Linked DNA regions of Rattus norvegicus. Each later gene encodes a partner of the first gene's protein in a complex. Links are inferred from orthologs where the notes say so. Each region holds a gene or a part of one and is shown on either strand. Other genes may lie near its edges.

The links. Proteins that work in one complex are often made in the same cells at the same time.
Region 2: the proteins of Ckb (region 1) and Asb9 are in contact, whole or in part, in a cryo-EM structure (PDB 6V9H), measured with the Homo sapiens proteins. The link is inferred for Rattus norvegicus from reciprocal best matches to the Homo sapiens genes CKB and ASB9. Residues at the interface, in NP_001814.2 of Homo sapiens: Asn63, Pro64, Gly65, His66, Pro67, Tyr68, Ile69, Thr71, Arg130, Arg132, His191, Val198, Ser199, Pro200, Leu201, Leu202, Leu226, Trp228, Glu232, Ile238, Met240, Asn286, Arg292, Gly303, Lys304, His305, Glu306, Lys319, Arg320, Gly321; in NP_001026909.1 of Homo sapiens: Leu25, Asn27, Pro28, Leu29, Met30, Gly31, Asp32, Ala33, Val34, Ser35, Asp36, Trp37, Pro39, Glu42, Ile45, His46, Trp60, Ala67, Asp68, His69, Glu75, Ala100, Asp101, Trp102, Val111, Asp133, Leu134, Ser165, His166.

Annotation. Positions count from the first base shown.
Region 1 is NC_086024.1:136,550,465-136,555,023, forward strand, and holds Ckb (creatine kinase B-type), read right to left. Parts: upstream 3,001-4,559; 5' UTR 2,939-3,000; intron 2,696-2,938; 5' UTR 2,675-2,695; coding exon 2,482-2,674; intron 2,295-2,481; coding exon 2,140-2,294; intron 2,062-2,139; coding exon 1,929-2,061; intron 1,750-1,928; coding exon 1,578-1,749; intron 1,002-1,577; coding exon 878-1,001; intron 768-877; coding exon 578-767; intron 499-577; coding exon 320-498; 3' UTR 119-319; downstream 1-118. UniProt on the Homo sapiens protein: Reversibly catalyzes the transfer of phosphate between ATP and various phosphogens (e.g. creatine phosphate).
Region 2 is NC_086039.1:33,587,902-33,590,904, reverse strand, and holds the end of Asb9 (ankyrin repeat and SOCS box protein 9), read left to right. Parts: intron 1-2,206; coding exon 2,207-2,331; 3' UTR 2,332-2,421; downstream 2,422-3,003. UniProt on the Homo sapiens protein: Substrate-recognition component of a cullin-5-RING E3 ubiquitin-protein ligase complex (ECS complex, also named CRL5 complex), which mediates the ubiquitination and subsequent proteasomal degradation of target proteins.

The DNA of each region.
Region 1 (4,559 bases):
AGGTGAAGTGACAGGCCAGGAAGGACGGATGGACACACACACACACACACACACACACACACACACACACACACACACACACGACTGTCTCTAAGAAAGGAGAAGCAACACTCAGACATAGGGCAGGCCAAACCCTAATTTATTTCAGTGTCTGCAACAGCTTAGCCATCAGAAAAATAAACTCTACCCAGGGCGACAGAAGTCTCTACAGCGAGGCTAAGGGCTCAGCCGCCAGGCGGCAAACATCAAGGATGCATGGCGGGCACTGCCCGGGTAATAAGTTAGGAAGCGGCAGCCTGGTGGTGGCTAGGGCCAGGCTTCACTTCTGGGCAGGCATGAGGTCGTCAATGGGCTGACCCTGCTCAAGCCGCTGCTCCATCTCAATGAGTAGCTTCACTCCGTCCACCACCATCTGCACCAGCTCCACCTCCGAGAAGCCCAGGCGGTCAGCGTTGGAGACATCAAAAACTCCACCCACAGCAGCGGTGTCCACACCACCTGGGGATGGGAGACAGGCAGGTCAGCAGGGCTGGGGAAAGCCGCGTTTGCTGCTTCACCTGAGTCGTCTGCCCCTCACCTGTGCCTCGCTTCTGAAGCCGCAGTCGCTTGAGCACCTCCGAGAACTTCTCGTGCTTTCCCAGGTGGGGCAGCTTGATGTGCACGCCTGCCCGAAGCCCAGTGCCCAGGTTGGATGGGCACGTGAGGATGTAGCCCAGGTGAGGGTTCCACATGAACTCATAGTTCTTAGACTTGAAGAGAGTTTCAATCTGAAGGTGAAGGGAAAGTTAAGGGAAAATGTAGCTGGAAGCCCCAAGCACCCTGGGAAATGTGGACTCAAATCCCCCCGACCCCCTCCCTCCTTAGCACCAGGCCAGACCTGAGTGAGGCCAGTGCAGAATCGCGTGAAAACTTCCTTCATGTTGCCCCCTTTCTGCATGGAGATAACCCGCAGGTGGTCCTCCTCGTTGATCCACACCAGGAACGTCTTATTGTCATTGTGCCTGGAGGAGGGGGTCGGGCAGACCAAAGTCAAAGTCTACAGCCTTAGTTAGGTCACACCCAGCAGGACGCCCTAGGTGGGTGACCTCCAAAGCGCTTTCCAAGTGCAGGAGTGTGGGCTGTCTCTAAGACGCCCACCCAGCAACACTCGAAGGCAGGGAGACCAGGGCACCTCAATCACCAGTCATGTGCTGCGTGGCCCGCAAGGGGCTGGAGCAGCCAGAGCAGCCCACCAGAGGAAGCACGCCTCCGCCCGCGCAGTCTGCAGGGGTAGGAGCCCTGCCCGGACGGGTGCGGAGGCTTTTGCGTCACTGGCACCTGGCAGAATCCCGGCGGAATAAGGGGGTGAGAAGGAGGAGAGAAAACAAGAAGCGCCGGCTCCCAGGAGGAGGGCGGAGAACAGACGCCAAAGAAACTGGTCACCACCCTTGAATCCCTGGAGACTGCGGCCTCCCGCGGCGCAGGGACCTCAGTCATCCGCAGAACCAAGGTCACCTGCGCACAGTGTGGTAACGCACAATCTACGAATTCAGGCCGTGCCCCACCTTCCGGGGACTGTGAGGGAAGAGGGCTCGTACCAAATGCCGCGAGCATCCGGCCAGTCGCGGGCCATGCCGGAGGCCAGCAGCAGAGGCGACACAGGCTTGTCGAAGAGGAAGTGGTCGTCAATGAGCTGCTGCTGCTCCGCCTCGGTCATGCTCTTGAGCGCATAGTACCTGCCAGACAGGTCGCCATCTAGGCTGGACAGGGCTGCGGAGTACAGAGTTCAAGGACCCGGTGGGTGGGTGGGCGAGCTAGAAAGCTCGCCACCCCGCCCGCGGCAGTGTCCCCGCTGTCTTAGTTGGGTCTTCCACCCTCAGACCCCTGGGGGAATGCGCGCGCGCCCAGACAAGAACGCAGCAGCTCTGGTGGCTGATACCGGACCCTACCTTCTACTGCCAGCTTCTCGATGGCGCGGCGCTCCCCACGGCTGCAGTGAGGGGGGAGGCAGAAGCCGCGGATGCTTCGGCCTGTGCGCACCCGCGAGCTCAGCACGTAGTTGGGGTCCAGGTCATCGCCGCCCTAGGGATGCAAGGCAGTGGCCGGAGTGAGCGCCGAGACCCCCTCTCCCCAGCACGCCCGGACCCTGACGCCCCGCACCTGCAGGTTGTCTGGGTTGAGGTCAGTCTTGTGCTCATCACTGGGCTGGTAGCCGCCGTGCCGGTCCTCGATGATGGGGTCGAAAAGGTCCTTGAATACGTCGTAACTCTCCTCGTCGCCCGCCACTGCACCCACTGTCATGATGTACGGGTGGCCTGGAGGAGGGGCGCGGCGACAGTGACGTCAGCGCCAAGCTAGAGCAAGGCACTGAGGCCCTTATGGCTAAGCGCAGAGAGGACCAGGAGACCCCACCCCGCCGAGGGTTCAGGGAAGAGCAGTGGGATCCTTGCCCGGGGGGCTTGTTGGGGAGACGAAAGCCTGACGCTACAAGGGTGTGCATACCCGGATTGTCTACGCCAGTCTGGATGGCGTCGTCCAACGTAAAGCCGCTCGGCGTGCACTTGGCACGGAGCTCCGCGTACAGCTCGGGGGTCAGCACCTTGGCCATATGGTTGTTGTGGCTGCTCAGATCAGGGAATTCATCCTCGGCCGGGAAGCGCAGCTTCTGCGTGTTGTGGCTGTTGGAGAAGGGCATGGCGGCGGCGGCGGCGGCAGGCTGCGGGGAAGAGCGGGGTCAGAGGAGCTTTACACACCGGTCTCCAGAGACCTGCAGACCAATCCGGACCCCCGAAGCTTTCCTCGGACGTCACCAAGGTCAGCGAGGTCTGCATCTTTTGAGTCCGGCGCATCCCAAGTTCCCCGGCGGGTCCGGGACGCGCTCCGGGCAACGAGCTGCGCGTGATGCACCCAACCGCGTAGCGCCCCTCAGGACTAGCCCCTCACCCTCCGACCCGCTCACCGGGATTCCGGACGGAGCAGGAACGCAGACTGCTTGTGCTTGCAGCTCCGGGCGCAGCGCAGAAGAACGACGGCCGCTCGCTGCTCCCTGAGCTCTTAAGGGGCGCGTCGCCGGCCTCCCATTGGCGGCTATTTATAGCCCATTCATTCCATTGGCCCGCGCTTTGGGGTGGTGCCGCCGCTTTGTCCGAGGCAACAACCCTCGACACCCCCAGCGGCCCACCCCATGGGTCCCCAAGTCTCGACCCCGCTGCGCAGTTTGGTCAACCCCGTGGCGCTCGCTCAGGATCTCGAAGACGAAATCCCAGGACCGTAGATACCCTAGACCTGCTTCACACACACTGCCTCGGGGCAGGAAACTGAGTCTGGAAAGCCAGTTAGCACTTGAGGTTCCTGCCTTCCCTGCTTCCTGCCTTGTCAGGCCGACAGCAGTGTTGAGGGGGTCATGGCAAGAGATACCAGGTTTTTAGCATGGGGTACGGCTTCCATCCACTGCATCCAGGCGGTACAAAACGGTACAGGGGAGCTGACCTTCCTCAAGGTGCCTGCGGGCATCTCCTGGGTGTTCTTGGTGCAACACCAGAGGCGCAGTCTGGCTGCGGTCCCGCCCGGAAGCACCCAGGGTGTTCTGACCTTGGGCGGGCCCTAAGGAACCTAGCCAAGACCCTTGGACCCGGACCCTGAAAAATTCAAGACACTGAGCTCCTAGAGACTGTTTTTGAATCTTCAAATCCCCAGGTTCTTTCCTGAGGGACCGGTTTCTACCACCCCACCTACAAAGACAGTACCTACGGCAGGCAAACTGGGGGTGGAGGAAGCACCAGTCAAAAATAAGCTCATTAATCAGATCCACCAGATTGAAAGAGTCTCTTTCCCCCACCCCGTGTCCCACACACGCAGGTACGGGGAAACCTGGAATTTGACCACAGCCAGTGCCGGCTGTGAATTGGAATGTGTGAACACAGGCGTTCACACCCTGCCTCCAGCTGCCAGCAGTTTCATCTTCTCTGGAAAGTAGTTTAGCAGTACTTATTAAAATTTTTAAAATTGTTCCATGACCTAGCAATCTCACTTCTAGGAATCCAGCCTATAGAAAGACGGCGTCCCTTCTCTACGAATAGATCAGGAACCGTGCAGAGGGAGAGAAAGACACGCTTGGATTAGACCTTGATGCTCATGAGGGGATGGCCATAGGTAGAAAAGTGTACAGACGCAAACAGAGGTGAGGCCGGGCATGCTGGCATACCCCTTCAATCCCAGGCAGAGGCAGGAGGATCTCTATGAGTTTGAGGCCAACCTGGTGTACAAAGAGAATCCAGGACAGCCAGGCCTCTGTTCCAGAGAAACGTTGTCTCAAAAAAAAAATCAATATCTATACTTTCCTGTTTATTGTCTACTCACAGCCTCTCAGCCATTTCTGGGTTTGTGTGTTAGACAGAATATCTTCAGTCGTTTGTCTTTGACAGGCTCTATAGTCCTGGACCTCACCATGTAGACCCTACAGGCCTCAGAGATCTGCCTGCCTCTCCTTACCCAATTCTGGACTTAAAGACGTGGTCCACCCTGCCCTGAGGGATTGCAGTTCAAAGCCTAGCTTCAGAGAACTGAGAGCACACTTAAGC
Region 2 (3,003 bases), on another chromosome or scaffold:
AAGCAGAAAAAGTACGACCTTCAGGTAGAACATATCAGTTCTTGTCCCCAGGTTTCCTTGATGATTCAGCTTACCTGGCTCTCTGTGCCCAGGGAAGCAACTTAATTAAATTGCTGTCTTTCTTCAAGGGTATGGGGACTTGGGAGTATTAGCTGAAACTTCACTGTGTTGTGAGTTGGGCTTGGCACAGAAGTTAGGAAAGGTGGAGATCTCCTCCCTTTTCCTGGAAGCTAAAGGGGAGTATTTCAAGAATATTCTCCCCTGCCTCTCCTGTGCTTGGCATCTAAAACATGTTTTTTCATGGCCAAGATTGAAAACATGAAATGACTCCCAACAAGCTTGCTCTGAAGTTTTGTCCTTCGTTGACCTTCATGAGGATATCCCAGAGTTGCCCCTAATTAAGCACATCTTCAAACACTGCTTTCCATTTCTCTCAAAGTGTGTGCTGTGAAATTTGCTGGCTTGTGCCTTGAACATAATCTGATGGTGCCTTCACTTGCGACCACTCCCTTTTGGAAAGTGCTGTTAGGGTTCCATCTAAAGTTTACACACATCCCTTTGACTATACTTGCCTTCACTTCTTGTTCCTTATCACCCTAGAGATCCATAACTACGTTTACCTATAGCTTGTGGTAAGGCTACAGGGCAGCAGAAGCCAGAGTATCTTTCAATTGTAGTCTCAAGATTGACTTCACAAGAAAATGGCCTGGGTCCCATGCTTTAATAAAATTAGGGTGCACAGGCACAAACCAGCAATAATTGAATCAATGTCTCTGGAATGGGACACAGCATCATATAGTTTAAACTTCCCCAACTCCAGCCAAATCTAAATTTCACCATTGATTGAGAGCTACTGTCTTATGGAATTTATTATGACTATATAGTTTTCTTTTTTTAAAAAAAATTACCGAAGAAGAATTCCCATTTTAATTTGGTTCAAGGAATGGTCATTATACCTTACCTTTTATAGTATCATAGGGATTCTAAACCTTGTTACCATTGGCAGTTGGAGTCAGTTAGGAGCTGTGCTGTGCACAGATGCTAGCAAGTAATGCTAACATTTTCTCAAGTAATGCTAATCAAAAAGTGCCTCAAGATACTGACTAATGTCCCCTAGGAAGAAAATTCCTTTCTTTTCTTTCTTCCTACCCAGCCTGTTGAGAACCGTCATCCTAAAATGAAAACTCTTGCCTGCTCCCTGTGCATATTTATGTTAGTTCATTTTCCATCCATGAGCTAAAGTTTTGGGAAATTTTTGAGTACAGAAGAGAAAAGTAAACACAAAGGAATTACACAAACTTATTATTTCCTTTGAGCTAAGCACGTTTGAATGCCTTTAAGTTGCTAATACTATAAACATACTTTCATCTAGCAATATGGTTTAATTTTTAAAAGACAACATCATGAAATATGAATTTTACTTTTTACGATTGGAACTTTTGCATAGCTGTTTTATTCCCAAATTAGTTTCTTTTCTTTCTTTTTTTTTTTTTTTTGGTTCTTTTTTTTTTTTCGGAGCTGGGGACCGAACCCAGGGCCTTGCGCTTCCTAGGTAAGTGCTCTACCACTGAGCTAAATCCCCAGCCCCCAAATTAGTTTCTTTAAACCTGTTAGTGAGGTGGCGAAGTTGTAGATAACTTTCACTCTGCCCTAAATTAAAATCCAGTAAGGGATGAGGACGGCTGAGCAACTAAGAGTGCCTCCTGCCATGGCAGAGGACGGGCACTCTGTTCCAGCACCCACATCTGGCAGCCTACACCCATCTGTAACATAGGTGGTGCCATGCTCTCCTCTGGCCTCCATGGTACTCTCAAGCATGTGCTCATGCTATCATGTATACATATACATACAGATAAGAATAACAGAATCTGAAAACATCAAATGATCTTCCTTCAGTTAAATACACTCAGAGAACATAGCCTAAAAATGCCTCCTTCATATATGCAAATAATAACAAATGAAAAAAGAGACCTCGAATTTATTTGAAAGAAAGAGTATACAGGAATGTTTGGAGGGATGAGGGGGAAGGGGGAATTGGTGTAATTGTATTATAATCTCAAAAAAAAAAGAAGTAAAAAATGGTAACCCCCTCATTTTTGTATAAGAATGCTATATATATATATATATATATATATATATTGCATGATTTAAAAGGCAGTCCTAGATTAGCAAAACCATCATGATTGGTCCCATGTTCTTTCTCCAGGGCCCCTCTCTTTGATGCAGCTATGCCGTTTGAGAATCCGGAAATGCTTTGGCATTCGGCAGCATCACAAGATTACTGGACTTCTTCTTCCGGAAGACCTGAAGCGCTTCCTTTTGCACCTTTAATTGTGGAGGGACTGGATCCACAAGCAACTGAAAAATGGTGTTGAAACTCCTACTATTGGAGTTTCAAATAAACTAAGGTTTATGATGGCAGATTAGTGTTTTCTTTCTTTTTATTTTTTTTTTCCAGTAAGACCCTTATTTTGAATAAGAGCACACCACGTACTTTATAGTCTTGGTTGGAGAGTGTGAAGACTGCCTGTCCTCTGCTTAAATGTGATTGTCTAAAAACAGCTATTGGTTTTAAACATGTCCTACATGCCAATCACCGAGCAAGGAACACTTTCAGCATTGTCTAATTGAGCCTTCACAGCCAAGTGCCCAGGTGGGTCCTATTTACTGCCTCTGCCAGGTGATACGCCGAAGCCCAGACTGATCAATATATCCAATTACCAAGATCAAGGACAGGGGAGCCAGATGCAAACATAAATTGTCTGCTGTTAACCTGGACGGTTTCAGCTAAGCCAGAATTTTCTATCATTATGGTCCTGGTTCCATTTCCATGACACCGAAAGGGAGACAAAGAAGGACAATGCTTCTTTGTGTCAGTACTTTTAACCTTTTCTCCTTTGCTGTACTACTGACTGTATTAGATCTAGAAGCATGTTTATTTTCTACCTCAAATCCCATGTGCATAGTAAGTACCTTCTAGAACTCTGCTGGGCAATATAGTTA